Linked DNA regions of Rattus norvegicus. The protein of the gene in region 1 interacts with the protein of each later gene in a pairwise test. Links are inferred from orthologs where the notes say so. Each region holds a gene or a part of one and is shown in the gene's direction. Other genes may lie near its edges. The genes, in order: Disc1, Stx18, Dmd, Rbsn, Tubb5, Traf3ip1 and Tnks.

Evidence for each region.
Region 2: the proteins of Disc1 (region 1) and Stx18 interact in a two-hybrid assay, tested with the Homo sapiens proteins (2 studies listed by BioGRID and IntAct). The link is inferred for Rattus norvegicus from reciprocal best matches to the Homo sapiens genes DISC1 and STX18.
Region 3: the proteins of Disc1 (region 1) and Dmd interact in a two-hybrid assay, tested with the Homo sapiens proteins (2 studies listed by BioGRID and IntAct). The link is inferred for Rattus norvegicus from reciprocal best matches to the Homo sapiens genes DISC1 and DMD.
Region 4: the proteins of Disc1 (region 1) and Rbsn interact in a two-hybrid assay, tested with the Homo sapiens proteins (2 studies listed by BioGRID and IntAct). The link is inferred for Rattus norvegicus from reciprocal best matches to the Homo sapiens genes DISC1 and RBSN.
Region 5: the proteins of Disc1 (region 1) and Tubb5 interact in a two-hybrid assay, tested with the Homo sapiens proteins (2 studies listed by BioGRID and IntAct). The link is inferred for Rattus norvegicus from reciprocal best matches to the Homo sapiens genes DISC1 and TUBB.
Region 6: the proteins of Disc1 (region 1) and Traf3ip1 interact in binary tests that used the Homo sapiens proteins (3 or more experiments, as listed by UniProt). The link is inferred for Rattus norvegicus from reciprocal best matches to the Homo sapiens genes DISC1 and TRAF3IP1.
Region 7: the proteins of Disc1 (region 1) and Tnks interact in binary tests that used the Homo sapiens proteins (3 or more experiments, as listed by UniProt). The link is inferred for Rattus norvegicus from reciprocal best matches to the Homo sapiens genes DISC1 and TNKS.

What each region holds. Positions count from the first base shown.
Region 1 is NC_086037.1:69,946,476-69,949,975, forward strand, and holds part of Disc1 (disrupted in schizophrenia 1 homolog), read left to right. Parts: intron 1-379; coding exon 380-1,350; intron 1,351-3,369; coding exon 3,370-3,439; intron 3,440-3,500. UniProt on the Homo sapiens protein: Involved in the regulation of multiple aspects of embryonic and adult neurogenesis. Required for neural progenitor proliferation in the ventrical/subventrical zone during embryonic brain development and in the adult dentate gyrus of the hippocampus.
Region 2 is NC_086032.1:76,970,927-76,975,226, reverse strand, and holds the start of Stx18 (syntaxin-18), read left to right. Parts: upstream 1-1,500; 5' UTR 1,501-1,514; coding exon 1,515-1,682; intron 1,683-4,300. UniProt on the Homo sapiens protein: Syntaxin that may be involved in targeting and fusion of Golgi-derived retrograde transport vesicles with the ER.
Region 3 is NC_086039.1:52,112,086-52,115,585, forward strand, and holds part of Dmd (dystrophin), read left to right. Parts: intron 1-2,054; coding exon 2,055-2,234; intron 2,235-2,875; coding exon 2,876-3,004; intron 3,005-3,500. UniProt on the Homo sapiens protein: Anchors the extracellular matrix to the cytoskeleton via F-actin. Ligand for dystroglycan.
Region 4 is NC_086022.1:126,256,203-126,259,702, reverse strand, and holds part of Rbsn (rabenosyn-5), read left to right. Parts: intron 1-2,901; coding exon 2,902-3,002; intron 3,003-3,500. UniProt on the Homo sapiens protein: Rab4/Rab5 effector protein acting in early endocytic membrane fusion and membrane trafficking of recycling endosomes. Required for endosome fusion either homotypically or with clathrin coated vesicles.
Region 5 is NC_086038.1:2,916,236-2,920,376, forward strand, and holds the start of Tubb5 (tubulin beta-5 chain), read left to right. Parts: upstream 1-1,341; 5' UTR 1,342-1,537; coding exon 1,538-1,594; intron 1,595-2,879; coding exon 2,880-2,988; intron 2,989-3,327; coding exon 3,328-3,438; intron 3,439-3,569; coding exon 3,570-4,141. UniProt on the Homo sapiens protein: Tubulin is the major constituent of microtubules, a cylinder consisting of laterally associated linear protofilaments composed of alpha- and beta-tubulin heterodimers.
Region 6 is NC_086027.1:99,524,176-99,527,675, forward strand, and holds part of Traf3ip1 (TRAF3-interacting protein 1), read left to right. Parts: intron 1-1,679; coding exon 1,680-1,841; intron 1,842-2,928; coding exon 2,929-3,066; intron 3,067-3,162; coding exon 3,163-3,500.
Region 7 is NC_086034.1:63,926,924-63,931,128, forward strand, and holds the start of Tnks (poly [ADP-ribose] polymerase tankyrase-1), read left to right. Parts: upstream 1-1,405; 5' UTR 1,406-1,430; coding exon 1,431-2,073; intron 2,074-4,205.

The sequences.
Region 1 (3,500 bases):
CACCAAGGCTGTGTCCCCAGGACCTGCACTGACATGCTGTCAGACGTACAGTGGGGCCTGCTGCTCTGCCAGCAGAGGGCTGGTCTGACTGGGCATCCGCAGAGCAGCACTGACTTTCTTTTGATTTTTAAAGACAGGGTATTGTGTAGCTCAGGTTAGCTTGAACTCCCTAAGCTGGTGAGGATGACCTGGGTCTTCTGATCTTTCTGCCTTCATGTTCCAAGGACTCGTGTTATGGGAGTGTCCCACCTTGCCTGGCTTGGGATCATGAGTTTTCGTGCTGTGCCTTTGATAGGTGTACTCACAGATGTCCAGCATGTCCTCCGTGGGCAGCTCCTACAGATTCAATAACATACACTGTTTTCTCTTCTCTTCTCAGGCAATGGGCATGGCTCGCCGCCTGCAGTAGCCCCTCAGAGGCGGCGGCTGACACGGAGACCAGGCTACATGAGAAGCACAGCCAGTCCTGGGATCGGGTTCCTGTCTCCAGCAGTGGGCATGCCACGTCCGATCTCAGCGGGGCTGACAGGCCAGGAGTTCTACCCCTCACAGTCCAAGGCTAGACAGTGCAGCCTTGACCTCAGAAGCCACTGCCAAGACTCATTGGTGGGCAACCCTTTTCTCAAGGGCTCCCTTGGCCCTGCTGTGACCTCTGTGGGCCACCTGCACCCAGCCCAGGGCTCTATGAGAGAAAGGATGGTGCACTCTGGGGTTCATTCCGGGAATGACAGAAGACAATCCGAGAGGCTGACTGGGGACAGTGGTTGTCGGCAAGAATTTTTATCTTCAGACAGCTCTAAGTCTCTGGCTTCTAGCCTTGATGTAGCTTGGAGCAAGGGATCGAGGGGCCTGAAGACTGTGAGGCCTCTGGTATCACCGGCGTCGAATGGCCCCGTTGACATCCCATCCCTTCCTGGGTTCCAAGACACCTTTACTTCCAACTTCAGCTTCATCCGACTCTCCCTCGGTGCTGCTGGAGAACGCGGAGAAGCAGAAGGTTGCCTGCCATCCAGAGAGGCCGAACCCCTGCATCAGAGCCCCCAAGAGATGGCAGCTGAAGGATCCGGCTCAGACAGGCCCCACGGGGAGCCTCGGCATCTCTGGACCTTCAGTCTTCACGCTGCTCCGGGCTTGGTGGACTTGGCTCAGGGGACGAGGAGCAACAGGCAACCAGAATGTGGCATGGTCTCCTCCTCCGATGCTGGCTTCTCTTCCCAGGATGCATCCCCCGCTGGAGGGCGGAGCGACCAGGACGGAGGCTGGGCGGATGCCCATGGATGGCACGCTCTGCTCAGGGAATGGGAGCCTATGCTGCAGGACTACCTACTGAGCAACCGCAGGCAGCTGGAGGTGTGTGTCCTTCAGAAATCTGTCACCCCCAGCTCAGTGTTGGGTGGAAGCGGGGAATGGGCAGCTGATGGAGTGCTGGTCCCGGAAGCTGCAGTGGATTCTGGGACGGCTGACTGAAAAGATGTGGTAGCACATCTGTAGCCTCCACATCTGAACGCGCATGCTCTGTTCTCCGCTTTCAGGCTGTGTAGCTTAGGTGCGGGCATGCCCTCTCTGATGGGGCCCATGCTTCGCCACAACCTTTGACCTGCAGTGTGGTTTGTTCAGGTTAGGACACTGGGGACTGGCAAGATGGCTCGATGGGTAAAGGCACTTGCTGCCAAGCCTGACTACCTGAGTTTGATTCTCCAGAACCCAGAGGGTGGAAGCGGGGAGCCGACTTCTGTAAACAGATATCTCCCCTCCCTTCACAGTAAACAAATGTAATAAAGTAAGACACTGGGAGAGTAAGGGGGGAACAGCCAGCTCGGGTTTGGAAAGAGTGAGACGTTAGGAGGGGAGAAGTCTGATTGCACAGGCCCCATCCCCTCCTACTTTGCTTCATTGTCCCATGGGCTATGTGGTCCTCCTACTAGGAGACTGTATGTGTGTGCACATATGTGTATGTGTATGTGGTGTGTGTGTGTGTGTGTGTGTGTGTGTGTGTGTGTGTGGTGTGTCTGTGGTGTATGGTATATGTGTGTGTGTGTGTGGTGTGTGTATGTGGTGTATGGTATATGTGTGTGTGTGTGTGTGGTGTGTGGTGTATGGTGTATGCGATATGTATGTGTATATGTATGTGTGTGGTATGATCGGGTGGGTATGAATATGTGGTGAGTGTGTGGTTTGTGAGTGTATATGTGGCTTGTGTGTGAGTGTGTGTGTTGTGTGTGTTTTTTGGGGGGCTGAGGACAACCTTGGGTGTCGTCTTCACTTCTGCCATGGTGCTGGAGTGCACTGTTAGGCCAGTGGGTCTCAGGGACTCTCCTGTCCCCTCCTCCTGTGAGGTGAGATTACAGGCATGAGTCACTATGCCGTTTTCTGTGTGAGCTCTAGTGTCAAGTTCAGGTCCTTACACTTGCCAAGCAGGCGCTTTACTGACCATTCATCTCCTCAGCATCTGGTTTCAGTGTTTAGAAGCAAGACCTGGTCACAGCCCGTTAGGAAGTTGTTCTGGCAAGGAAGGTGTGGCTACCAGTGGCTCCCCACTCCCTTGTTCTCATCTTCCCCACTCCTGTGCTGGAATAGAACTAGGACTGTGTGCATGCTAGGCACACATCTCTGAGCTACATGTCCAGCCCAAGACAGCAGCTTCCCTGAGATGGAGGCTTCAAGCGGGGCCACGGTCCTTCCTGAGCTGGCCACTCTGGAGACTGTGGTCTGTGCCTGGCTCCTCTTGGCTCTTACTTCCCACGTTCACTCACCCTCACTGTGATGTTCTGAGGGTTAGAGCAGAGGCCATTCGGCCTGCAGTCTGTGTTCCCTCTCCCCACAAAGTGCTTCATGCTGTAATGGCAACACTGTGGAATCTGTAATGTTCTAAGTCTTTCTGGGGAGTTCATGCTTAAGTTGTGTTTCTTTGTGCAAATGACTTTTCTTTTCTTCCTTAAACACGCATTTGGCATTGGCACACATTGCTTGCTTGCTTGTGCGTGCGTGTGTGTGTGTGTGTGTGTGTGTGTGTGTTTGAAAAATAGTTTAAATAGAACTTCACTTTTAAATTAGTTTCCCTATATAAAAACAGTATTGCTTCTCAGGAACTTAACTTTTTTTTAATTTTATTTTTTTTATTTGTCTGTGTGTATGTGTGCATTGTGGTTCTTGTGTAGAGGTCAGAGAACACCTTGTGGGGGTTTTGTGGGTTCTGGGGACCAAGCCCAAGCTCTCGGACTTGTCTGCATGAGCCTTCACCCTCGAGCCATCCCATCCGGACAGCCCACCTTTGAAAATAGTTCTTAGACGCTCGTAGGTTTCACAAAATGAACTTGCTTGAATTAGTTTGTAATTTCTGTTTTATGTTTCCCCTTCACACCAACACAGGTCACTTCCTTGATTTTAAAGCTTCAGAAACTTCAAGAAAAAGCGGTCGAGGATGGCGATTACGACATGGGTGAGTTCGGAAGCTCTTCATAGACAGTTTTCATCTTTCTCCCTGACCTCTGTCCGGACCT
Region 2 (4,300 bases), on another chromosome or scaffold:
AAGTCTGGCTTAATGGAAAACAGCTGCCCTGCATTTAGCCTATTGTTAGATCAGTGTCTCTGGGAAACCCAGCCACACAGCTGATCAGAACACACAGATGTAAAGGCCAATATGAGCCTGGAATTATTACAAAACTCGCTTTTCATCTCCATGACAGCTAAAAACCCAATTTTAGCACACATCATAGTGTGCTTCCTTTTATAAGGAAAACAAAATCCAGAAAAGTTGATACTGAAATAAGACTAAACCATGGGGGTCACACTCCTGGACAAGAAAACTCCAGGCAACTATGGCTGCTGAGAGAGGAAGAGTTAGCCTATCCCTCTAATTGGTTGTCCAATACGAAATGATAATCCCTGAAATCATACACACATAAACAGTTTCAGCAGATTGTGCTTGCATAGCCATGGATACTTACATATATATGCAACAATTACAATTAAGGAAGAAGAGGCTATAAATTTGAGACTGAGTTGGGAGACATGGAAGAAATCAGAGGGAGAGGATTGGAGGCTGGAGAGAGAAAAGGGAAGGAGAGAAAGTGGCATAATTGTATTTTTAATTAAAGGTGTACACAAAATAAAATAAACCATGAACAAAGCGTCCAGAAAAATTTTATTAGCTGACTTTAGTCAAGTTAAGTAACTCTCTTCTTTTCAATTTCCTCCTTTCTCTATAATAACTATGACTCAAGAGAGCGCTTTTCAAAACTACTTATTTAGGAGGAACATAACACAGTTATCATCAAGCTCAGTATGCTTCACTTTTCTCTGGCTCTCATAACTTCCTGCTCTCCATATCCCCCCGCTCAGGGATCTCTGCTCTAAGCCTCTTCTACACCATAAGTAAAAAAGACTGAGGACAATAATATTATCATCAACTGCAGCATTTACGGGCTGCGTAGTAAGAGTTAAACAACATGAGAATGCGCATTCTGTTTAATTTTCTGTGCATTCTAGGAAGGTGCTAGCTTCACTTTACCGAACTGGCTGAAGGTTTAAGAAGAGAGCCCTCTGGACTCTACCTCTATACACTTACCCTTTCCTAGTACAAGCACCCAGACGGTCATAGTTCATTGCTTCTTAAGTGGATCCCTAGACGACATAGGTCAAAGGTGTTAACACTCCCCACCTGTCAACCAAACCTCACGCCTGTCTTCTAAAGAATCATACGTGAGCGATCTTTCTAGTTTCCTGATGCTTCCGTTCCTGAAGCCCAGTTTTAGAAACCCTGTGAAACTTCCAAGCGTCTGACCCCGCTGAAGTTTGCAGTGAGGAGAAAGAGGTGCTGATGCACTGCGGGTAGCTGTCTGGAACGGAGATTCCCTGCGCTGGGCCGAGGCCGGAACCTTTCTCTACTCGACGCAGTACACGGGCTGAGAGCGGAACCTTCCTTTTCTGCTCACAGTTCCCAGGCGGAAGCGAAATCGGAACGTCCCTCAGCGACCGAGCTCTTGCTGGGGTCGCTTGCTGCTGACGTGTGCCGACCGGCTTCGGGCCGCGGCGCGGGTCGCTATGGCGGTGGACATCACACTGCTCTTCAGGGCTAGCGTCAAGACAGTGAAGACGCGGAATAAGGCTCTTGGAGTGGCCGTGGGTGGTGGAGCCGATGGCAGCCGAGACGAGCTGTTCCGCAGAAGCCCTCGGCCCAAGGGAGACTTCTCCAGCCGGGCCCGTGAAGTGGTAAGCTGGTTGCTATGGGAACGACTGGTGGGAGTCAGGGGCGGATCTGCAACCGCGGACCCTGCACCCCTAACTGGGCCCTGCCTCGTTAGCTCTTGGTGAAGTGAGGGAGTCTCTAGCAAGACAGAAGAGTCGGTCTCACGAAGCCAACAGCTGGCTCGGGGTGGCGACAGGTTTATTCTCACGAAGAGGGACGCATATCTGGGCACTGAAGGAAGCAAGTTTTGAAGAGGCTCTTGGATGTCCTTGAACTCAGGCTAACTTTTAGAGGCAGTGAGTTCGCCGTGGCTGCTGATTTGAGTGCCTTGGAAGAGTTCCCACAGTCTTACGCTTCCTGTATTAAAACTCACCACTCTCTCCGCTTGCCCTTTCATGTGTGTGTTTGGACCTCCTCTTGTGCATAGGGTTTAATAAAAATCTACGCTCAGCAGAACTCTCCTTTGTCCTTGCCTCCAGGAATAGGTAGAACTCAGTACCTCCAGAAACTGGTTTAGGATATCACCAGTGTAGGGTAAAAGCTTTTTCCTTCAGAACTGCAACACTTAAGCAACACCTAGTGTTGTAACTGTCCTCTAAACTGCTTTCTGTTCTCTGGACACAACCGGCTTTTGTGTCCCCCAACATAGGAACCTTCTCCATAAGGGTAGGAACATGTTGACATTATTTCTATATGTGTGACTGAAAACATTGCTTAGTAAATATTCCTTGGATGGATGGATGGATGGATGGATGGATGGATAAACAAATGAATAGATATTGTTTCCACTAAACAGGGAAAAGGAGATTGTTTGCAAAAGGAGATTGTTTGCAAAAGGAGATTGTTTGCATTATATCCCTTTGTATCTTTGACACTAAGGGTAAATGTTATTTTTGTTGCACCAGGAGGCATATACAGTCTGTTCTTTTAAAGACACACACACACACACACACACACACACACACACACACACACACACAGAGTGGTCCAAAGCATTGAAAGGTACAAGTCAAGGGAACCTAAACTTTAAGTATAATTAGTTTTCCAGTAAGCTCACCTCTGCTTGGCACATAATCCATTGCTTGATACTTCTCTTTTTGAGACAGGGTCTTTCCATGTAGACCAGGCTAGCCTTGAACTCACAGAAAGGTGACTGTTTCTGTCTCCCAAGTGCTGAGATTAAAGGCATGGGCCCCATACCAGATGACACTTGAATATTGTTTTATATATATATATATATATGCACAAGTTAATGAATGACTGTTTAATACTCAAGGTATGGAAGGTATGGACCAGATAAATGATGCCCCTCCCTCCAACAATAAGCATCTACTTAGAACTGAACTTGTGACCATCATTGTTTTAGAGTAACAGGATTCTATTCTTGAGTTACAAAGTTTCAGTGCTAGAGAGATACAAATATAAACAAACCCCCTGCCTTGATTCCTGCGGGTATTCTGTAGGGCACAAGGGAAACAGTAGTTAGTTCCGCTTGGGAGAAAGGCTTCATGGGACAATGATATCAAATATCCATTCTAAAATAAGAGTAGTTGGTTTCATTACAGATAAGGTCAGGAAGGGCATCACAACTAAGTTAACAACAGCATACTGGCCATACTCCTGGATGCCCTCACACCCAGGAATACAGGGACAGTGCAATTAGGCTTGATGGGCTTTTAAAGAAAAAAGTCTGGGGGGGGGCATGAAGTTAGGGGAGGTAAAGAGGTGGGAGTGGATTTGAGAGGAGTTAGAGGGGAATGGTGGTAAATATCAGAACACATACGGAATTCCCAATGAATTAAGAAAATACTTTTTTTTTTTTTAAAAAAAGAAACCAACGTGCACAAAGGCATGAGATAGTACCAGCTTAACTTAAGTTGGGTTTGATTAACGTAAGAATGTGAGACACTCAGAAAAAAAGAGTGGTATGGTACCCAGAGGGAAATCTAGAAGGACCTTGTAGATCACTCTTCAGAATTTGAACTTTGCCTTCTAGACCAGTGGTTCTCAATTTTCCAAATACTGTGACCCTTTAATACAGGTCCTCATGTTGTAGTGACCATGCCCCCAACGATCATAAGATTATTTTCATTGAGACTGCATAGATATAATTTTGCTACTACTATGAATTATAATGTAAATATCTAATATTCAGGATATTTAAATGTGACCCCTGTGACAGGATCATTCAACCCCACAAAAGGGGTCACAACACACAGGCTAAGAACCACTGCTCTAGACAGTCCAATATTATGTAGACAGTAAAACCCTGAAGAAGACCCAGGAGACCACATTGTTGTCTTAACCATGTTAGCTATTAGCCAGATTCATGCTATTAAGCAAGGTTTATTTACCTATAAAATGGTTCATCTTTATCCAAAACAGACTTTAAACATCCATTGGGTCTATCATATATGTCATATATAAAATGTCTTATCATACCATGTATTATGTTGAAAGAGGCATGACTCAGGTTGAAGTAAGAGGACAGGAAAATAAGGTGTCATCATAGCTCTCTTCTGAGTCTGGCCAAACTGTTACCACAGTGTGTGGACGTCACAGTTTTGGTGTGTGGAGGCTCTTCCCTGGGTGGTTTATTAATGCTGCACAGATTTTCAGTCCTTAGGAATAGGGGATTTCG
Region 3 (3,500 bases), on another chromosome or scaffold:
CGAATTTCATAAAGTAATTGTTTTTGATAGCTGAGTAATATTTCATTGTGTAGATGTACCACATTTTGTGTATCCATTCCTCTGTTGAAGGGCATCTGGGTTCTTTCCATTTTCTGGCTATTATAAATAAGGCTGCTATGAACATAGTAGAACATGTGGCACTCCTGTCTCAATTGCCTCTCTTTCTAGTCTGTGCTTGTGAGAGTAGGGCATAACCTATTTCTGATTCATCCTGTCACAGATTTCTCTGATTTGTTACTTTGTCTGTCCCTCAATTAAATATCACTTTTAAAGATGGCTGCATCTCTTTACAAATTAAACTTCACTTCATTGTTTGAAATTAAAGGCGTGTACTAAGGTTATGTCTCTATTCCATCTAGATCATAATGTAACAGAGGCTATGTCATTCCATCCAGAAAATATAGCCTTAGAAAGTTTTTAGTTGTTTTTCTTTGCCAGAGCACCCTGGTTGCTGGATTAAAATTTCTCTACAATTTACCTTACATGTGTAACTCACCATTAAATAACCTTTAGTTTGCCTTAAATTAACTTTTACTATTACCTGTGAAGAGTTGATCTCAATGAATTTTCCCAATTTCGATGATTATAATGCAAATTTTCATAAGAAAAGATTCATCTGTTTTACCCATTCCTTCATGATTAACAAATCAGAGTAACTTTAAAATATATTTGTGACTAGGAAATAGTACATTTATTTACTGAAAACCATCAAGTTTATTGGTTAGTATTTTTGAACCTAACTGATCATATATTTTACCCATAAAATGTTAACATTTGCTGCAATTATGATTTCAGTAGAATTCTTCTCATGGTAAATGTTTTCCTATACCACAATATCACTTAATGAAACATATGCAGCCCCAATTTTGCTATCCTTATGTCTACAAATGTAGATATAACATAGTGAATATAATGAATATAATCTTATGTTTTCCTCACTTTAAAATTAAAAAGGAGCTTATAAATTACAGCTTGAGGGAGAAAACTAAGTGTCTTGAGTATAAAGGCAATACTGTTTTATTTTTGTACCTATAACAATGATTACCATCTATATTTATAGAGAATCTATTTTACCCTAGAATTTACAGGATGTTTAGAGGGTTTAAATTTAATTTTTATCTATTTATTTCTAAATAAGCTGTGTCTACCCAAACTTGGTACTTTTCTTATTCCAAAAACGAGTTAATAGTGTTATCTGTGGCAATTTTACAATAGTATCTGGTGCCATAGAGGAATGCAATAAACAGTCATGAATAATATCTGAACAAATTGATTTTAAGCAATCCTTGTCTCATTCTTGTACCACAAATTAAAACCTTCATTATAAATAATCATTTTGCTCATAGTAAATAAATTCATTTGGCATGAGTTACTACAGGATCTGTATTTTAAAATAAAATGATAATAAAAGAACAAATATAGAATCCATAGATGAAAGTGTTTATTTGTTGATAACATCTAGGAGTAAGAAATCTACTGTCTGATAGAGATATACTCTTATCTTCTATCCATGAATACTTCTGTGACTGTACTTGTACAAGTTTTATTTGAATCTACTTGAAACTTGCCAAGATGTGCGGTTCTTCATCTATGATTTTGTCTTTTTTGACTTTGCTTGCAGTTATTGGGACATAGACTTCATTTTAAAATGACTTTTCTTCTTCGTGTCAGTTTTTTTGTACATTTATTTTATACTTTAGAAATCATTATGTGAGGAGTTCATTCAGTTTAACGAGGTGTCAAAAATATTCATATCTCCAAAAGGCTAAATATGTTGCTATAGAAAAATAACCGAGGCGTAGTGGTTTAATTTTCAAATTACAGGTATTGCTTTATAGATGAGTCTTAAATTGTCTGCCTTTAACAAATACATGATCAAATTAATAAACATGTAATATTAATTGAAAAATCTCTAGGTTTAGTTATTAAACATATATAATTATGATTAAAATATCTATCACATTTGTATAACAAAATTTCCCAATTCTACATAAAGTGCATTACTTGAATCTTAATGCTATTTTTTCCTACAGGCTACTCAGAAAGAGATTGAGAAACAGAAGGCTCACTTGAAGAGTGTCACGGAACTAGGAGATTCCTTGAAAACAGTATTGGGCAAGAAAGAAACTTTGGTGGAAGATAAACTGACGCTTCTGAATAGTAACTGGATAGCTGTCACCTCCAGAGTAGAAGAATGGCTAAATCTTTTGTTGGTAAGAGTAGAGGCAGGAAGCTTTTTGTCTTAGCTGAGGTTTTATTGTTGTGAAGAGACACCATGACTATAGCAACTCTTTTAAAGGAAAACATTTAATTATGGCTGACTTAAAGTTTTAGTGACTTAGTTCATTATTATCATGGTGGAAAACATGGGAATATACAGCCAGACAGAGTGCTGAGAGTTCTACTTCATGATATCCAGGCAGTAGAATGGGAGATTGTGTTCCATATTGGGCAAAGCCTGGGCAAATGAGACCTCAAAGCCCATCCCCCAATGAGATTTTCTACATGGCCTAACCTACTCTAGTAAAGCCATGTCTTACAATAGTGGGGGCTGTGGGGACCATTTTCTTTTAAAACACAACATTTCTTTTTCACTCTTCCTTCTCAGCAAGCTAACAAAACAAAAACAAGAAAATAATAAATTAGGAATGATACTTGTGTTTGAAAATTCAACTGCTCTCTATATATGCTGATATAGAGTCTCATAATTCCAAGATATTTTTCAATACTTAGTATTACTTTCTATTTCTGATGTTACTTAAAGGTAATTTAAATATTTCATTGTTTTCTTTGTAGACAGTGGAAAAATGCTTTAGGAATTTTGTCTAACCAGATATATTTCCATACAATTCAGGAATACCAGAAACACATGGAATCCTTTGATCAGAATGTAGAGCATATCACCAAGTGGATCATTCACACAGATGAACTTTTAGATGAATCTGAAAAACGGAAACCACAACAAAAGGAAGATATTCTTAAGGTAGCAAATAAAATATGAGAAGTAGTTTTCAAACTGTACCTGTTATGACAATTATGTTTCAACTGCAAAATACCAAAGACTTTCTTATAAAGCCTAATATCTTTATTTTTTTCTACCTGTGTTGCTTCCATCTTTTGATCATCCATCATTATTTTCTATCTTACGACATTCATTCCTTTCTATTCCTCCTCATTTTAGAAATCAATGTCATTGTAGAGATCTATAATTTGGGTATCATGTCTGACCTCTCTCTATATGTGCTAAAACCATAAAGGGTTGCACAAATTACTTTTCTGCCATATTGCAAGTCATTCTTACTTTAATAGCAATATTATTTTCTGCACCATCAAAATAGTTTCTCGTTGATTCATACAGCCTTTATTAAATACTCATTTTTTCTATCTACTAGTGTCAAAGATCAAACTTAGTATGCATTTAGTTTGCCTGCTCTAAAAACACTAAATTAAGGGTTGTACAAACTCCCAGGTGTTTTAAT
Region 4 (3,500 bases), on another chromosome or scaffold:
GATTAAAGTGCATACCACTATGCCTAGCTTCTTCTCTACTTTCAAACTGATAAAAATGGTCTGACATTTCTTTCGGTTATTCAATTTTGTGAACATACTAAACAACTTTCCCCCCATCCCCCCACAAAACTCAAACCATTGAATTAATATACTTAGAATGGCACTTTTTTTTTTTTAAGTTGAGACTGGAACTTATTATGTAGTCCTGATTGTCTAAGAACTCTCTTTGTAGACCAGACTTGAACTCAGAGATCTGCCTGACGATGCCTCTTCAAATGCTGGGGTTAAAACCATGCACCATCATGCCTGGCAGGATTACTTGGCCTTAAAATTATATGTTTAGGAGATTACCTGTCAGTAAAGCTGTCAACCAAAATACGTCATGTGCTGAACTAAAGTGTCTCATCTTACTTATTACTTAGCTGTGGAATGGTAAAAATCACTAATTTTGTTTGCTGGGATTGAATCTCAGTCAGCAGCCTGGTAAGAAAATTTATTAATTCATTTATTAGTTCATTCAATACTTATTGAGCATCTGTGTGCCTCATCCATGCTGAGTATGTACTCTGATACTGGAGTACATACCTAGCCCAATAAAGTACTTTCTATCCACAGAATGGATAAGTAATGCTTCTTTCAGAGTTCTTTACTTTTGTATTCAGAACCCTTGTGAGATAGCTTACTCTAACTGAGCACACACATGGCATGCACACACACAGACACATAGACACACACACACACACACACACACACACACACACACACACACACACACACACACTGACCAGGGTCACTGATTGCATCTTTATTAATACCACTGGGGAAGGTGGTATTTAATCTTAGAACTGTTCTATCCAGTTCAGTAGCCATATGTAGCTATTGAAATTTCATTAATGAATCAAACAAAATCTATACACACTTCAGTTGAGCAGTATCCCTCTGTGGTCAGTGGCTTCTCTGTGAGTATGCAAAAATATTTTTATCACTGTAGAAAATAGCTTTATAAATACTATTGTTACATGATTTTCTGGGACATATAAAAGAAATATCTGTTCACTTCAAATAAGGAGGGTGCAGACAGAGCAAAGAAAGTTCCCTCCAGTCCAGTTTGGTGAGATAAATGAGTTTATTGGGGGTTATTTACAGGAACATGGGTGACTTGAAGCTGCATCACCAAAAAGCCCCAACCCCCTGTCCACCAAGATACTGTTTTACTTTTAATGTTTAAAGATTATTTAGTGTTTAAATTGTGTGTGCGAGTGTGTGCACATATGTATGCCGTTTCCTGTGGGGTCCAGAAGAAGGCATCAGAAGTTACAGGTGCTGGGAGCTGAACTGGGGTCCTGCAAAAGCACTGTGTGTTCTCAACTCCTGGACCCTCTTTCCAGTTCCCAGCTCTGTTTTATCTGTCTTTAGTCTATAGCAAGTTTCTGCAGAGCTGGATTCAGAGCACTGTCTAGGGGTGAAGTGGTGGCGGCTGTAGGTTCAGGCGACATAAGGCGCAGACAGAACTGATAAAGTACCATGCTTATGTGTACCTGTCCTTGTTCCAATTGGGATTCTGCTGGTCTCAGCAAGCAGTGTCTAGCCAAGGAAGGATGGCCTATTCTGCAGCAGTCAGATGCACAGTGGCTTACTGCAAAATGGAGTTACTCTGGCCAGGATTCAGAGGTCTACTTCTACTGCAGATGTATATCAGCAATTATAAATCACATGTGAAAGCTGATTAGAAGCATAAAGGAGAAATTTCTGACAAGTGAATTTTAATACTTTGTGATGGCTTATTTTCTAATTGCCACAGTCCTAATTGCTAGTGTGGTTTTCTGATTAACCTGCCCAATTAAACAATGGAAAGAAGTGCAAATGGTGGATGATCAATTGGAAATTTTAGAAGTTATTTATAATTATCCCTAGGATTTCTAGACTAAAATTTAGATTCCAGTGCATGATTAGGAAAGACAGACATGGATGAGTAAGAGTACAGTGTGGAGATGGTCCAAAGAGGCTTCAAACAAGTACAGTATAGCTATGGTACAGCACGGTAACCACAGTGAAGAGATATTGTACTTAAGTTGCCAGGTGAGTAGGAGTGAAGTGTTCTTGCTACAAAAAAATGAGTGAGGTAATGTATGTTTTAATTACCTTCATTTAGCCATTCCATATCTATCTGGCTTTGTATCCCCAGATGCTTCAGATACACTGAGGTCAGATACTACTTGGTTCCATTTGTATTGGGAACATTTCTGCTAGGTCTTAGATGCTAAACTGAGGAAAGTATCCATTTAACTGAACTAAGGGCATACATTACCACTTACTGGTCCCCCACCCCATTTTGAGAAGGGCTTATTGTTGTTATTATTATCACTATTATTAATTATTTTGGTTTCTCAAAATTTTTCTGTGTAGTCCTGGCTGTTCTGGAATTCATTATGTAGATCAGGCTGCCATCAAACTCAGATCTGCCTGCCTCTGCCTCCCTCTCCCTGGGACTAAAGATGTGAACCGCTACCACCCATCCCCTACCCTCTGCTTTTGAAAAGGGATTGTTTTTATTTTGATAAAAAGCTACATTGTGTTAAGTCACAAAACTAGTCAAGCAACTTATCTAAAGTGACACAGTGTGTAGCATATTTAAAATTTGAGCTCAGGCTAACTCTAATAAGAGCTTACCTGCTATGCTTTGAGGTTTCTCATGTTGTACTTTGGGTCTCCAAGAGCTAGGGTTAACATCGTAATGAAATTCCTTTCATCTTCTTTCTAGTTATTAAATTTTGGTAGGGTTCTAAAATCCTGCTTTTTCTGTTTCTGTTTTGTTTTGTTTTTTACATGCTTTTAAAATTCATTGAGGATCTAGAGAGGCTCTATCAGAATCGTTAACTTACCACTTCTCTTCCTCTTTAGGTGCTATGAGAAGCCATCTTTCTGATTTTAAAAAACATCGTGCTGCAAGGATTGACCACTATGTTATTGAAGTCAATAAATTAATAATCAGGTTGGAAAAGGTAAGTTTTGTAGTTTTATTTTGTAAGTACATATGTGTTATGTAAGTGATGAGTATCTGACTCTGAGAGAACTGCAGAGGACATTGAAGACAGCTGGCCTAGCTGGTCTCCCTGAAGTGAATTGATCACGCTGAAAGACTTACTAAGTGCCCAGCTCCCCTTTTATGCCTATCACTCCCACTTGCTGCGGTACATCTTCTGGAGTTGTCCCGGGGAGTCACTCAGTGGGCACAGTGTGTAATGTCATCTGATAACAGCTCTGTGTATTGAGTTGTGGCTAGGGCTAGTGTGTGTTGTGGGGTCATCTAGTGTAGCCTTTCTTATCCTGTAGTGCTAGAGTATGTTTGCACGATTGGCTTACACTCTGACCCTAGATACACTTGATGTGCATCTGGATTGTGGGGCATTGGTAGGTATAGTCCTCTTTTTCACTTTTGTGGTGCCCCAGCAAGCACTCTGCCACCAACTAAGTCCCAGACCAGGAATGCTCTTTATGTA
Region 5 (4,141 bases), on another chromosome or scaffold:
TCTTGTTTTGTCGATCAGGTTAGCCTCCAAAGTGCAAGTATCTTTCTGCCTCCACCTCTCTATTGTTTGGGAGGTAGGGCAGGCACAATCTAATTTTTCCTTTCTATTTGTTCACTTAGAGATTAAACCTAAAGCTGTGCCTCAGGTTGTCCAGGTAGTCTCTAGGTAGCCCAAGCTGACCTTGAACTTCTCTTGCCTTCTAGTCAGGATTCTGGGATTAACCGTGTGAACCACTCCTGCTCTTATTCTAATGAATCATTTTGTATCTCCTTAAAGGTTTGAGGATACTTAGTATTTTTCAAAACCCTGGAAAGAAAAGCTTACGAGCTCTGACTTGGGCCCATTCAATTCCCATCTTCCCTCTCAGTTCCAGGACATTGCCACAGACTCACCTAATGAATAAAATCAACTAACTGGAAAACAAAACACAACAAAAAAACCAACAAAACAAAACAAAACAAAAAGAAACAAACAAAAGCCCTTGCAAGTGTCTGAGATGGAGGCACTATATAAAGACTAGCATTCTCTTAGTCTGTCCACTCCAGTCTATACTGACAAGATGACCAGGATGTCTTCAGTGTCTAAAGGCCCGAATCTCCCAGAGATTTTACACACACCTCCATTCTTTTGGGACATCAGCTCCATGCAGATTCTCCATGATCCTTGCAATTTTGTTTCTCTTTTGAAAACCCCTGAGACACCTCCCATGGAAACAGAAGGGCAATTCTTTCATTCCTGTCTTGGGATCACAAAGAACTAGACACTGTGTATCAGGGAAGGAGCACACAGTTCTCAGGATTTTCCGCTGAGCTGTGCAGTCTGGCCTTCCCAGACCTTCTGCGGTGGGCAGCTGGCAGGGCGTGCCCAACCCACCTTCCAACTCAGGCACCTCAGATCTCATCTAATTACTATATTTCCCCAAACCTCTTTTCGTACAAAATCCTCTCTCAGGAATAGAGGCTAGGAATCGAGAGGTCATTTTTCATGAAAAATAAAATAAAATCACACACACACACACACACACACACACACACACACACACACACACACACACACACACACACACACACACACACACACACACGCGATACCCCCTAATCCTCCCACAGTACCCACCCATCTTTAACTTCTTTTTGCAGCGTGGACAATAGAGAACTACAACTCCCAAAAAGGACTGCGCTCGCCACTGGCTCAGAGACCAATGGCCGTCTGGCACGTGATCCGCTGGTCTAATCAGCGACTGGTTGGGTAGGCTTTGTCTGCAACCCGAGGCGCCCGCCCATCTCCCGCCCCCGGCCGCGCGAACGCGCGCCCCGCCCTGCGCGCCTTCCCTCCTGCGCTCGCCGGCCTCTTCTGCCTCTTAGAACCTTCCTGCGGTCGTGCTCGCATCTCTCTGCAGCAGCCTCCGGGGCTACGTTCCATCCTATCAGTCTGAGACCAGCCCAGAAGAAAAAAACCAAAAATCCTTAATTATCTTCTTTTGCTCGGTACCTACATTGGGACCATCAAAAAAAGATTATTACAGTAAACCGTAGCCATGAGGGAAATCGTGCACATCCAGGCCGGACAGTGTGGCAACCAGATCGGTGCTAAGGTAAGAATTTTATAATTTTAGATGAAATATGTAAGGATGAGATATCTGTGTTAATCGTGAGCAATGCTAACGGGGCGTTTGCATTCTCCGCTCGTCAGATTTGGCCCCTCAAAGTTTTGTACGTATAAATATAACCCATATTTGTAGCTAGCGTTCTAATATTGAGAAAATGTTTTTCTTGGCACATCTTCGGAAAGCTATTAAGAGACGCTTTTGAGTTCGGGGAAAAGGAGAGGCTGGGGGACTCTAAAGAACTGGTATTAAAAGGGGTTTTCTAACGGTCCGAGGACAGGAGGGATGCGGAAACGATCCGAGACAAAGCCGAGGCGAGGTTTTCCCCTTGCGCCACCCCCACCCCGCCTGGAGGGCCCTACTGGAACAGAATGGAGGGGGAAGGGGCGAGGTTTGGCGGGCAGCTGCAGAGATGCCCCGGTGCGCATTACCTCAACAAAGGCTTGGATACTCCATAGAACCCGCCTTCCCAAGGCTTTTTTTAGATTATGATTCTATGTAGGGCACTACTTTTACTTTTCATTGCCCTTAAAAGAGGTCTTAGGGTGTGAGCGGACAGAAAGTGTGAGCTTTTCAAGTATGTGAGAGACTGTCGGGGAGATTAAGGAGAGAGAAAGAAGGAAGGGAATAAAGATCGGAGGCCATGGGGTTTTTAAAAATTTTCCCCCCGTTTGCGGGCAATTGCCCTGTAGCGGGGGAGGGGGAGGGAGGAAGTGCGGCCGCTACATTGCAGCCGAAGGGTGGGACCCTCTTGGGGGCGGGGCTGGAGCCCCTGGCGCGCAGGGACAATGCGGCCCGGGCCCGCGGGGGCGCACTGGCCCCGCCCCTCGAGCTAGGCCCCGCCCGCACTGCTCCCGCCTTTGTGGTTTGCTGGAGGAGCGGCCCGCCACCGCAGTCACGTGGAGCGCGTAAGGGGTGGGCGACTGCAGTGGCCGCACCTTTCTCCCCCAACCCTCTTTTGTGCTGGCCAGGAAGGGCGGTGCCTGGCTTCAGGAACCAAACCTAGGTGCTGAGCCAAGAAGGTGGGCGCCAATCCGCCCATGTAGATGCTTACAGTCCCCGGCCCTTTGAATCGCCAGTCATCCGTCCTATCCACTAAGGTTGTAACCTTCCGGGGCGTAGGCTCCTCGGTAGAGGGTTCCGCAAGCAGATAACGGAATTGCAGTGTCTGCACCACAGCTTCGTTTGAGCATGTCTGGAATCGAAATGAGGGGCGGGCGGCATCCCTTAGGACTTGAGCCATTGAGGCCTCACTGCTCTCTTCCTTATGCAGTTCTGGGAGGTGATAAGCGATGAACACGGCATCGACCCCACCGGCACCTACCACGGAGACAGCGACTTGCAGCTGGACCGAATCTCTGTGTACTACAATGAAGCTACAGGTGAGGGAAGAAATCCCGATTCTTCTGCGTGCCCCCCTATTGAGACAGGGACCCCATTCATCACTGGCCGCCCTGGAACTCACATAGATCGGTCTACCTTCCAAGTGTTGGGTTTAAAGGCAGCATCACCACCCTGTTTTCCCACACTTGGGTATCAGTTACCCCTCTGTGAGACTCCCATTTTTCCCCCCTTACACACACACCTTATGGGGCTGAAGGTTGGCTCTACTGCCACCAGGTGGTAGTGCCTGGAATGACAACTTTAGTGATATGTGGCTGATTTCTCCACCCCAAATTTGAGCTATTTCATCGCTGATCGAACATCTTGAATACTTGTAGGTGGCAAGTATGTCCCTCGAGCTATCTTAGTGGATCTAGAACCCGGGACTATGGACTCCGTTCGCTCAGGTCCTTTTGGCCAGATCTTCAGACCGGACAACTTTGTTTTTGGTGAGTTATGTGGAACGGATTCCCATGTGTCCCCCAGTGGGATTATTTCAAACGTTGAAAGATTAAGAAGTATTGTGTTTCTCTCATATGTGATTAGGCTTTTTAAATTTTTCCCCCTTATTACATTCCAGGTCAGTCTGGGGCAGGCAACAACTGGGCTAAGGGTCACTACACAGAGGGAGCTGAGCTGGTTGACTCTGTCTTGGATGTGGTGCGGAAGGAGGCGGAGAGCTGTGACTGCCTGCAAGGCTTTCAGCTGACCCATTCGCTGGGTGGAGGCACGGGCTCTGGCATGGGCACCCTGCTCATCAGCAAGATTCGAGAAGAATACCCCGACCGCATCATGAACACCTTTAGCGTGGTGCCCTCACCCAAAGTGTCTGACACCGTGGTTGAGCCCTACAACGCCACCCTGTCCGTCCACCAGTTGGTAGAGAACACAGATGAGACCTACTGCATTGACAACGAGGCCCTCTACGACATCTGCTTCCGTACCCTTAAGCTCACCACGCCAACCTACGGAGACCTGAACCATCTCGTCTCTGCCACCATGAGCGGTGTCACCACCTGCCTCCGTTTCCCGGGCCAGCTGAACGCCGACCTTCGGAAGCTGGCTGTCAACATGGTGCCCTTCCCGCGTCTCCACTTCTTTATGCCTGGCTTTGCCCCTCTCACCAGCCGTGGAAGCCAGCAGTACCGGGCC
Region 6 (3,500 bases), on another chromosome or scaffold:
AAAGTGCTTGCCATGCAGACGTGCAGACCTGGGTGGTATCCCCCAGCACCCATGTGAAAAGCTGGCTGACGTGTATACTGGTGATCCCAGAGCTGGAGAGGTACTCGTTGACCAGGTAGCCTAGGGAAATGGGTGAGCTTTAGGGCCCAGAGACGTTGTCTCAAAACACTGAATAGATGGTGTCCTGAGGTGAATCTCTGACCTTCACATGAACAGGCACATGTATGTGTGCGCGTGTGAGTGTGTGCAATAATCCCACCTTTACAGCCACATGTATATGCATGCATATCCATCTATACACATATACATACAGAACATAAAGAAATGTGAAAAAAAGCAATATTACAACCAGATGTGGAGATGCATAGCTATAAGCCCAGCACTCAATGACTAAGGCAGGGGTACTGCTGCAAGTTCAGTGAGTGCCTAGCCAGTCAAGTCTGCAAGACCCTACTCAAAAAGCAAAAGTACATCAGGATCAGTGGCCAGGAATGGTGATGCACTAGCTCTCGGGAGCCATGAGAGTCATGAGTTTGAAGCCAGCCTAGGCCACACAGACCATGTCTCAGAAGCAAAAGCCTGAGCCAGATTGTTTATAGTTAATGCTATCCCATTTGTTCCATTGAAAGATTGGATGAGTAGATTTGGTTGTAAACAATGAAAGTTCATAAAGGTTATTGTCTTAGTTAGGGTTTTACTGCTGTGAACAGACACCATGACCAAGGCAAGTCTTATAAAGGACAACATTTAATTGGGTCTGGCTTACAGGTTCAGAGGTTCAGTCCATTATCATCAAAGTGGGAACATGGCAGCATCCAGGCAGGCATGGTGCAGGAGGAGCTGAGAGTTCTACATCTTCATCTGAAGGAAACTAGAAACAGATTGGCATTCTTTTTTTTTTTTTTTTTTTTTTTTGGTTCTTTTTTTCGGAGCTGGGGACCGAACCCAGGGCCTTGCGCTTCCTAGGTAAGCGCTCTACCACTGAGCTAAATCCCCAGCCCCCAGATTGGCATTCTTAGACAACTAGGAGGAGGGTCTCCAAGCCCACCCCCACAGTGACACACTTCCCTCAACAAGGCCACACCTTCTAATAGTGCCACTCCCTGGGTCAAGCATATGCAAACTATGACAGTTATGAAAAGTCAGAAATTCTGAATTTGTCATACATCTAGAAATAGTTTTTCATATAAAAAGGCACCATTCTGGGTGAACATTGAATATACTGAGCCTATTGACTATATTGAATATATGAACTCCTCAAAGTATTTAAAATCAAAATTTTATTTTAAAACATCTTGTTTTTTGAAAATCTCACACATTTATGCAGTGTATTTGATCATATCTGTTCACCACTGCCTCCCTCCAGCTCTTCTGGTGTTCCCTACACTGTCTCCCTCCTGAGTTCTTGGCTTCCTTTTTAAGAACAAAGCAAAACTAAACTGTGTGTGTGTGTGTCCGTGTGTATGTTACTGTGTGAGTGCGGTTTGTGGAGTCCAGAATAGGACGTCAGGGCCTCTAGAGCTGGAGGTACAGGTGCTTATGAGCCACCCGATGTGGTGTTGGGAACTGAAACTCACGTCCTCTGTACGAGCACTGTACAATGTTAATTACAGTCAGAGCCATTTATCCAGCTGCAAGTATTTACTTTAATGTTTGTCTTTTCCATGGAAATATTTCAGGATAAAGATGCAAAGATTAGCTTCTTACAGAAGGCCATAGATGTGGTCATGATGGTGTCAGGAGAACCCTTGGCAGCAAAACCAGCTAGAATTGTGGCCGGGCACGAACCTGAAAGAACCAATGAGCTGCTTCAGTTGATTGGCAAGTGCTGCCTCAGCAAGGTAGGTGGGTGCCTGCCTTCCTGGTAGGCAGCTTGTCCTGGACTGGCAGAGCTGGTGTGGAATGCTTCCCTAGTTCCTGCATGTGAAGCCTGTGAAGCAGGGGTGTGAGCAGGAAGGCCAGTGCTGAGAGCTGCTCTGTCCCCTGGGTGGCTGTGAGGGATGCCGGAGCCAGAATCTGCTCTTGCTGGGGCTTGAGGTAGTTTTCTGTTGTGGAGATCCAGGTAACAGTTATCTCAGTTGGCACAAGTTTTGTAGTTTGAATACGTTAGTGATGTGTGGCCATCACTGTGATCTACCCTTCATTTGCAAGACTCACTCTCTGTACTCATTACCTCCCCCTCTTCCCACCCTAGTAACAACCTTTCCCTCTCTGCTGCTGTAAGTCTGACTGACAGTCCATGTATGAGGCAGTATGTCACTAACATGGTGTCCTCAGAGTTCATTCACAGTGTGCCATGGGTCAATTTTCTCCCCACTTGGTTAGCAATACTTTGCTGTGTCTGTAGACCACATTGTTTTTCTGTTCGTCTGTTAAGGGACATCTGTGTTGCTTCCACATTCTGGCTGTCATAAATCATGCCACTCAGAGCCCGAGTGCCACTGTCCCTTTAGACCAGCTTTTAGTTCTTTTGGGGTAAACCCAGGAGTGCTGTGGTCATGCTGATTATTGTGTGTGTGATATTGGGAGGAGCACCACACTGTTTTCTGGAGCACGGCACACTCTGCATCCCCAGTGGTTCCCAGGCTCCACTGCTCCCTATTATACCTGCAATTTTAGCATTTCTTTTGTAATAGCTGTCCTAAGTGATGTGTGCTCATTAGACCTGGGATTCTGTTTGATGACCTATGTAGTGCAATGTGGGTTACTAGAGCCACACACATGTCCACACTGACATTTGGATAGAGAGGAGACAGGATCTTAGTAATGGATCTCAAGCATTGTGCTTTGTCACTAACATTTTTGCTTACTAGTTTATCTCCAAATGTCCTTCATGGTAGGAAGAAATCTATTTAATGAGCTGTCCTTTAGTGCTCCATTCTCAGTGCCTGTACTCACTAACATCATCTTCCTTGCCTGGCCAACCAGCTCTCCAGTGATGAGGCTGTGAAGAGAGTCTTAGCTGGGGAGAAGGGGGACTCGAGAGGTCGAGTCCTGAGGACGTCGAAAGCACAAGAGCCCGACAACAAGAGTGTGAAGGAGGAAGAGTCCAGAACACAGAAAGAGGTGAGCTGTAGGACGCCGCATGTCTTTGACACAGCAAGTCTGTAAACTAAAGTCAAATATTAAAAATGACTGTCATGTCCATATGCTTTTCTTCAGGAGAAACGAAGCTCTGAGGTGAAGGAGAGAAGCTCAAGTGCAGAGCACAAACAGAAGGAGGAACTAAAGGAAGACAGCAAGCCTCGGGAGAAGGAGAGAGACAAGGAGAAGGCAAAGGAGGCTGACAGAGACCGACACAGAGAACCCGACAGGGACAGAAACAGAGACGGAGAGCGAGAGAAAGCCAGAGCACGGGCCAAGCAGGACAGGGACAGAAACAACAAAGATCGGGACAGAGAGACTGAAAGGGACAGAGATAGGGACAGGAGGAGTGACGGTGGGAAAGAAAAAGAGAGGCAGAAGGACCGAGACCGTGACAAGGGAAAAGACCGGGAACG
Region 7 (4,205 bases), on another chromosome or scaffold:
CTAGCTAGGTATGCATACTCCCAATGCCACTTAGACTCGCATGCCTCTCAAGGCACCCCAAGTTAGATTTAACTCTGAACAAGCAAAGCAAGCCTCTGTGGTCCGACAATACCCGCCCCTTCTCCCCAGCATAGCTGTAGACATTTTGTTCCATGCCTGCCAGCTATTTCATATTGTTGCTGTAACATGCCTACCAGCCTTTGACACAGAAAAATAGCTTCACTCAGAGCTATTTTTTTCAGACCCTGTTATGTTCTGTTATGTCCTGAGGTTTGTTAATCTTAAGACATTCCTCAAAGCTTTACGTAGGGCTCATCAAATTAAAGGTCAATATAAACTGTTATGTCAAAAAAAATGGCTTAAGTTAGAGCTGATCACCAGGCAGAACTTCCTGCACCTGCGTATGAGCTCATTGTGGTTTTTTCTTTTATAAGCTGACATAAAAAGATGTTGTAGTTCAGATGATTCTGAGCTATGTCCCTGGTCTGACCAGTATTAGGGTGTGCATTCAATAATCCGACTCTTAGACCCCAACACCGAGCTATTTGATAGCGTGTGTGTGTGTGTGTGTGTGTGTGTGTGTGTGTGTGTGTGTGTATTCCTTTCTCCAGTATTAAGACCACCTGACCTGAGAGACAGGACCAAAGTCTGGGATGACTGACTTCTTTGTTCCACTTTGCTGGCTGGGAGATAACAGGTAAAGCAGGTCTCTGAACTGTTAATCCCGTCCTCTAAGATTACAGGCGCACTGGATAGAGCAGCGCAAAAAGGCATCCTGTCTCCGCTCCTTGGCATTTGTGGCAAGAGTTAAATACCCTCTTAGAGAATAAGGTTATCCTTCCCTCCAGTCCTGTCTCTGAATGAGACCAAAGGAGATAGTAAGGTGTACAGATCCAACACTTCATTTAAAAATATTCCCAATGTGCTAATTTTAGTTATGTATTCTTCAGAGCGTTTTGTATGCATTAGCTCACTTCATCTCTGCAGACAATTTTGTGAGGTGGGTACTATTAATTCCATTTTCGGGCGAGGACATTTTGCTAAATGTTTGCACCAAGTTACATTCTAATAGCTTCTTCTGAAGTAAGACACCGCAGACTGACGGACACCTGGGAAAAGACTGAAGCAGTCCAAAGCAATCCCGCTTTGGAAGGAAGACAGAAGTTTCTCGGACAGGTAGTGGCTCGCCAAAACTTTCAAATCTGCCTTGCCAGCCCGCCAGGGCGTCACAAAGCCAGTCTCTCAACTACTAAGCCACGCCCCCAGGCTGGTTGTTCTCTAAGCTTCCAATACTTCCCTTCTTCTCTCCGACTCCACCCACTTCGGCAAGAATCATTTCCGGGTATGTTGACTTCTGATTGGTCCAGAATCCGGAAGTGAGGGCGGGCGGTGGCGCCGTTGCCGCAGTGACAGTACGGGGGAGTGGGAAGATGGCGGCGTCGCGTCGCTCTCAGCATCATCACCACCATCATCAGCAACAGCTCCAGCCCGCCCCAGGGGCTTCGGCTCCGCCACCGCCACCTCCCCCGCCGCTCAGCCCGGGCTTGGCCCCGGGACCTACCCCGGCCTCTCCCACGGCCGGCGGCCTGGCGCCCTTCGCCTCCCCGCGGCACGGCCTGGCGCTGCCGGAGGGGGATGGCAGCCGGGACCCGCCCGACAGGCCGCGATCTCCGGACCCGGTGGACGGCGCGGTCTGCACGGTGGCTGCTACGGCCGCGGCCCCGGCAGCTTCCGCCGCCGTCGGGGTCGCTCCCAGCCCAGCCGGCGGCGGCGGTAACAACTCCGCGTCGTCCACTTCTTCGCCTACTTCTTCTTCGTCTTCCTCTCCGTCCTCCCCTGGCTCGAGCATAGCGGAGAGTCCCGAAGCCGCCGGAGTTGGCTCCACAGCAACTTTGGGACCCGGGGCGGCGGGCCTTGGCCCGGGGGTCCCAGCCGTGAGTGGGGCCCTGCGGGAGCTGCTGGAGGCTTGTCGAAATGGGGACGTGTCCCGGGTGAAGAGGTTGGTGGACGCAGCGAACGTGAATGCAAAGGACATGGCCGGCCGAAAGTCTTCTCCCCTGCACTTCGCAGCAGGTCTGAGACCGTGTTTTACGGGTTTTGGAGCGGAGGGAGGGTGGTCGGACTAGGAAAAAAAAGTTACAGGTTGTAGTGGGACAAGTAGGGACTTGTTGGTGGTTCTTTTCCACCTCACCCTGAGAACTGAAGTTTAGTGTCCGTGTGTGTGGTGGGGGGGGTTGGAGGGGGGCGAGGTGTGAATTCACTCCTTGGCGTTTGCAACAGTGGTACTTCAACTTATGCAAACTCCGTGTAGCGCTCATCTGTGGATGTGGGCATACTTAAAACCTTTTCAGTTCGGAGTTGTGTCTGAGACAAGTTGGATTTGAGTAGCTTTAGGAATAGCTTTGTCGTTCGTGTGCTAGTTCGTTTTGTTTTTTACGACACGGTTTTGTCCTTTGAGTACGGACAGTCCGGGGCGAAAGAAGTGTAGGGTAACTCAACAAGTGTCCAAGAATCTCTCGTATTCTTAAGTAACACAACGAAAGACAATGGGGTTTGTCAAATTCCACCTTTTCTAAAGAAGTGGACAATCTGGAGAGACTACCCCCGGCCAGTCGGAGACAATAGTGATAAGGGTAGTGTGTGCCTATGATAAGGGACAGAGAGATCAGCTTTGAGGTCCAGTGTGTATTTACCTTGTCTCAGCTAGCTCATTTTCTTAGAGACAAAGATGATAGGTTGTTTGAGTGAGGATTTAGGAAGAAGTCTTCTGGCGGGGAAACTCAGCACATAGGCACAGATTTCTAAATGCTGAACTTTACTTTTCTTGCCTCTCTCCCTTCTGAGTAAGTAGTTGTTTTCTTTTAGAAACACAGAATATTTTTTATAAAATACAGAAATGTAGAACAAAAACAGAAGGGCCATACTCTCACTGCCTTGATACTTCTGGTTGATTTTTTTTTTAAATAAGGTTAATTAGGTTATGTACTTTAAAACAAGTACCTTTGAAGTTTGTACTTCACATATATTATAAATTCAAATAGGATAGAAAGATACAAAATTAAAAGACACACTTTTTAAAAAAGTATCAAAAATTCCTCTTTTAAATGTTAGTTTTCTTGAGTGTGTGTGTGTGTGTGTGTGTCTGTGTCTGTGTGTGTCTGTGTAGGTACAAGAGGGCAATTCCCTGGAGCTGGAGTTACAGGTAGTTGTGGGTCACCCAGCTTGGGTGCTCAGCTACTCTGGAAGAGTAAGCTCTGTTTAATTAACTTCAGAGCATCTCTGCAGCGCCCTTTCTGTCTTGAGATGCTGTCTGAGCACCAGAACTCTGTTTTTGCTGGGAAAGCACTTTACCCCTGGGCTACATACACCTCCAGCTCCTCTTGCTGTGCATTTCAGTGGTGTTACTCCTTCAGTTCTGTAAACGTAAGCTTAGAACTTAGGAGAACTGCGATTCTCGTTTTACAGATGATAAAGCGAGGCACACGTGAGTCTAGTTCTCAAGTAAAGTAGTGAGACATTGACGTTGAGTCAGCAGTTTGATTTAGAGCCTAAGCCATAATCTATAGGTGGGTTTGTATGCAGGGCACAGCTCCTAAGTTACTTGGTGTTTGGGGAAGAAGGTAGTAGTCTGGAGCTCATGGAGAAGGAAAGCTAGTGATTTTTATTTGTTTTTGTTTTTGTTTTTTTTTTAATTTCAGCCATTGCTTAGAGTTTGTAATGTTGCAGTGCAATCAGAACTTTGAGGAAATGGAAACTGCACCCTTCCTTGCTTGTGTGTTTGTATACTTTTCCACTTCACTTGTAGCAAATTGCGTCTGTGATCCATTAATGGACAGTGATCAGTGGTGTGAAACCCATTGGGAATGGTCAGATTACTGGGTCTGTGCTCCATATTAGGCAGAACTAGTGAGTGTGATGAATTCGCTTATAAGTAGGCTTTCAGCTACGTAGATGAAAAGTCAAGACTCTTGCTTGTTTTATATGAAATAGGATTTCTTTTTCTTGTCTGGCTTTTCTTTCTTTCCTAGTTCTCATTTTCTCTGTTTCTTGAGAGAAGTCTGGCCAGGCTCAAGGTTCTGCCTCAGCCTCCCAAGCCCTGGGATTTCAGCCATGCGCCACTACACAATTTCCTTTTCTTTAGGCTAAATGAAAGGTCTGAGTCTGATTTAATAAATCATCTGAGACCGTTTACTTTCCAAATCAAG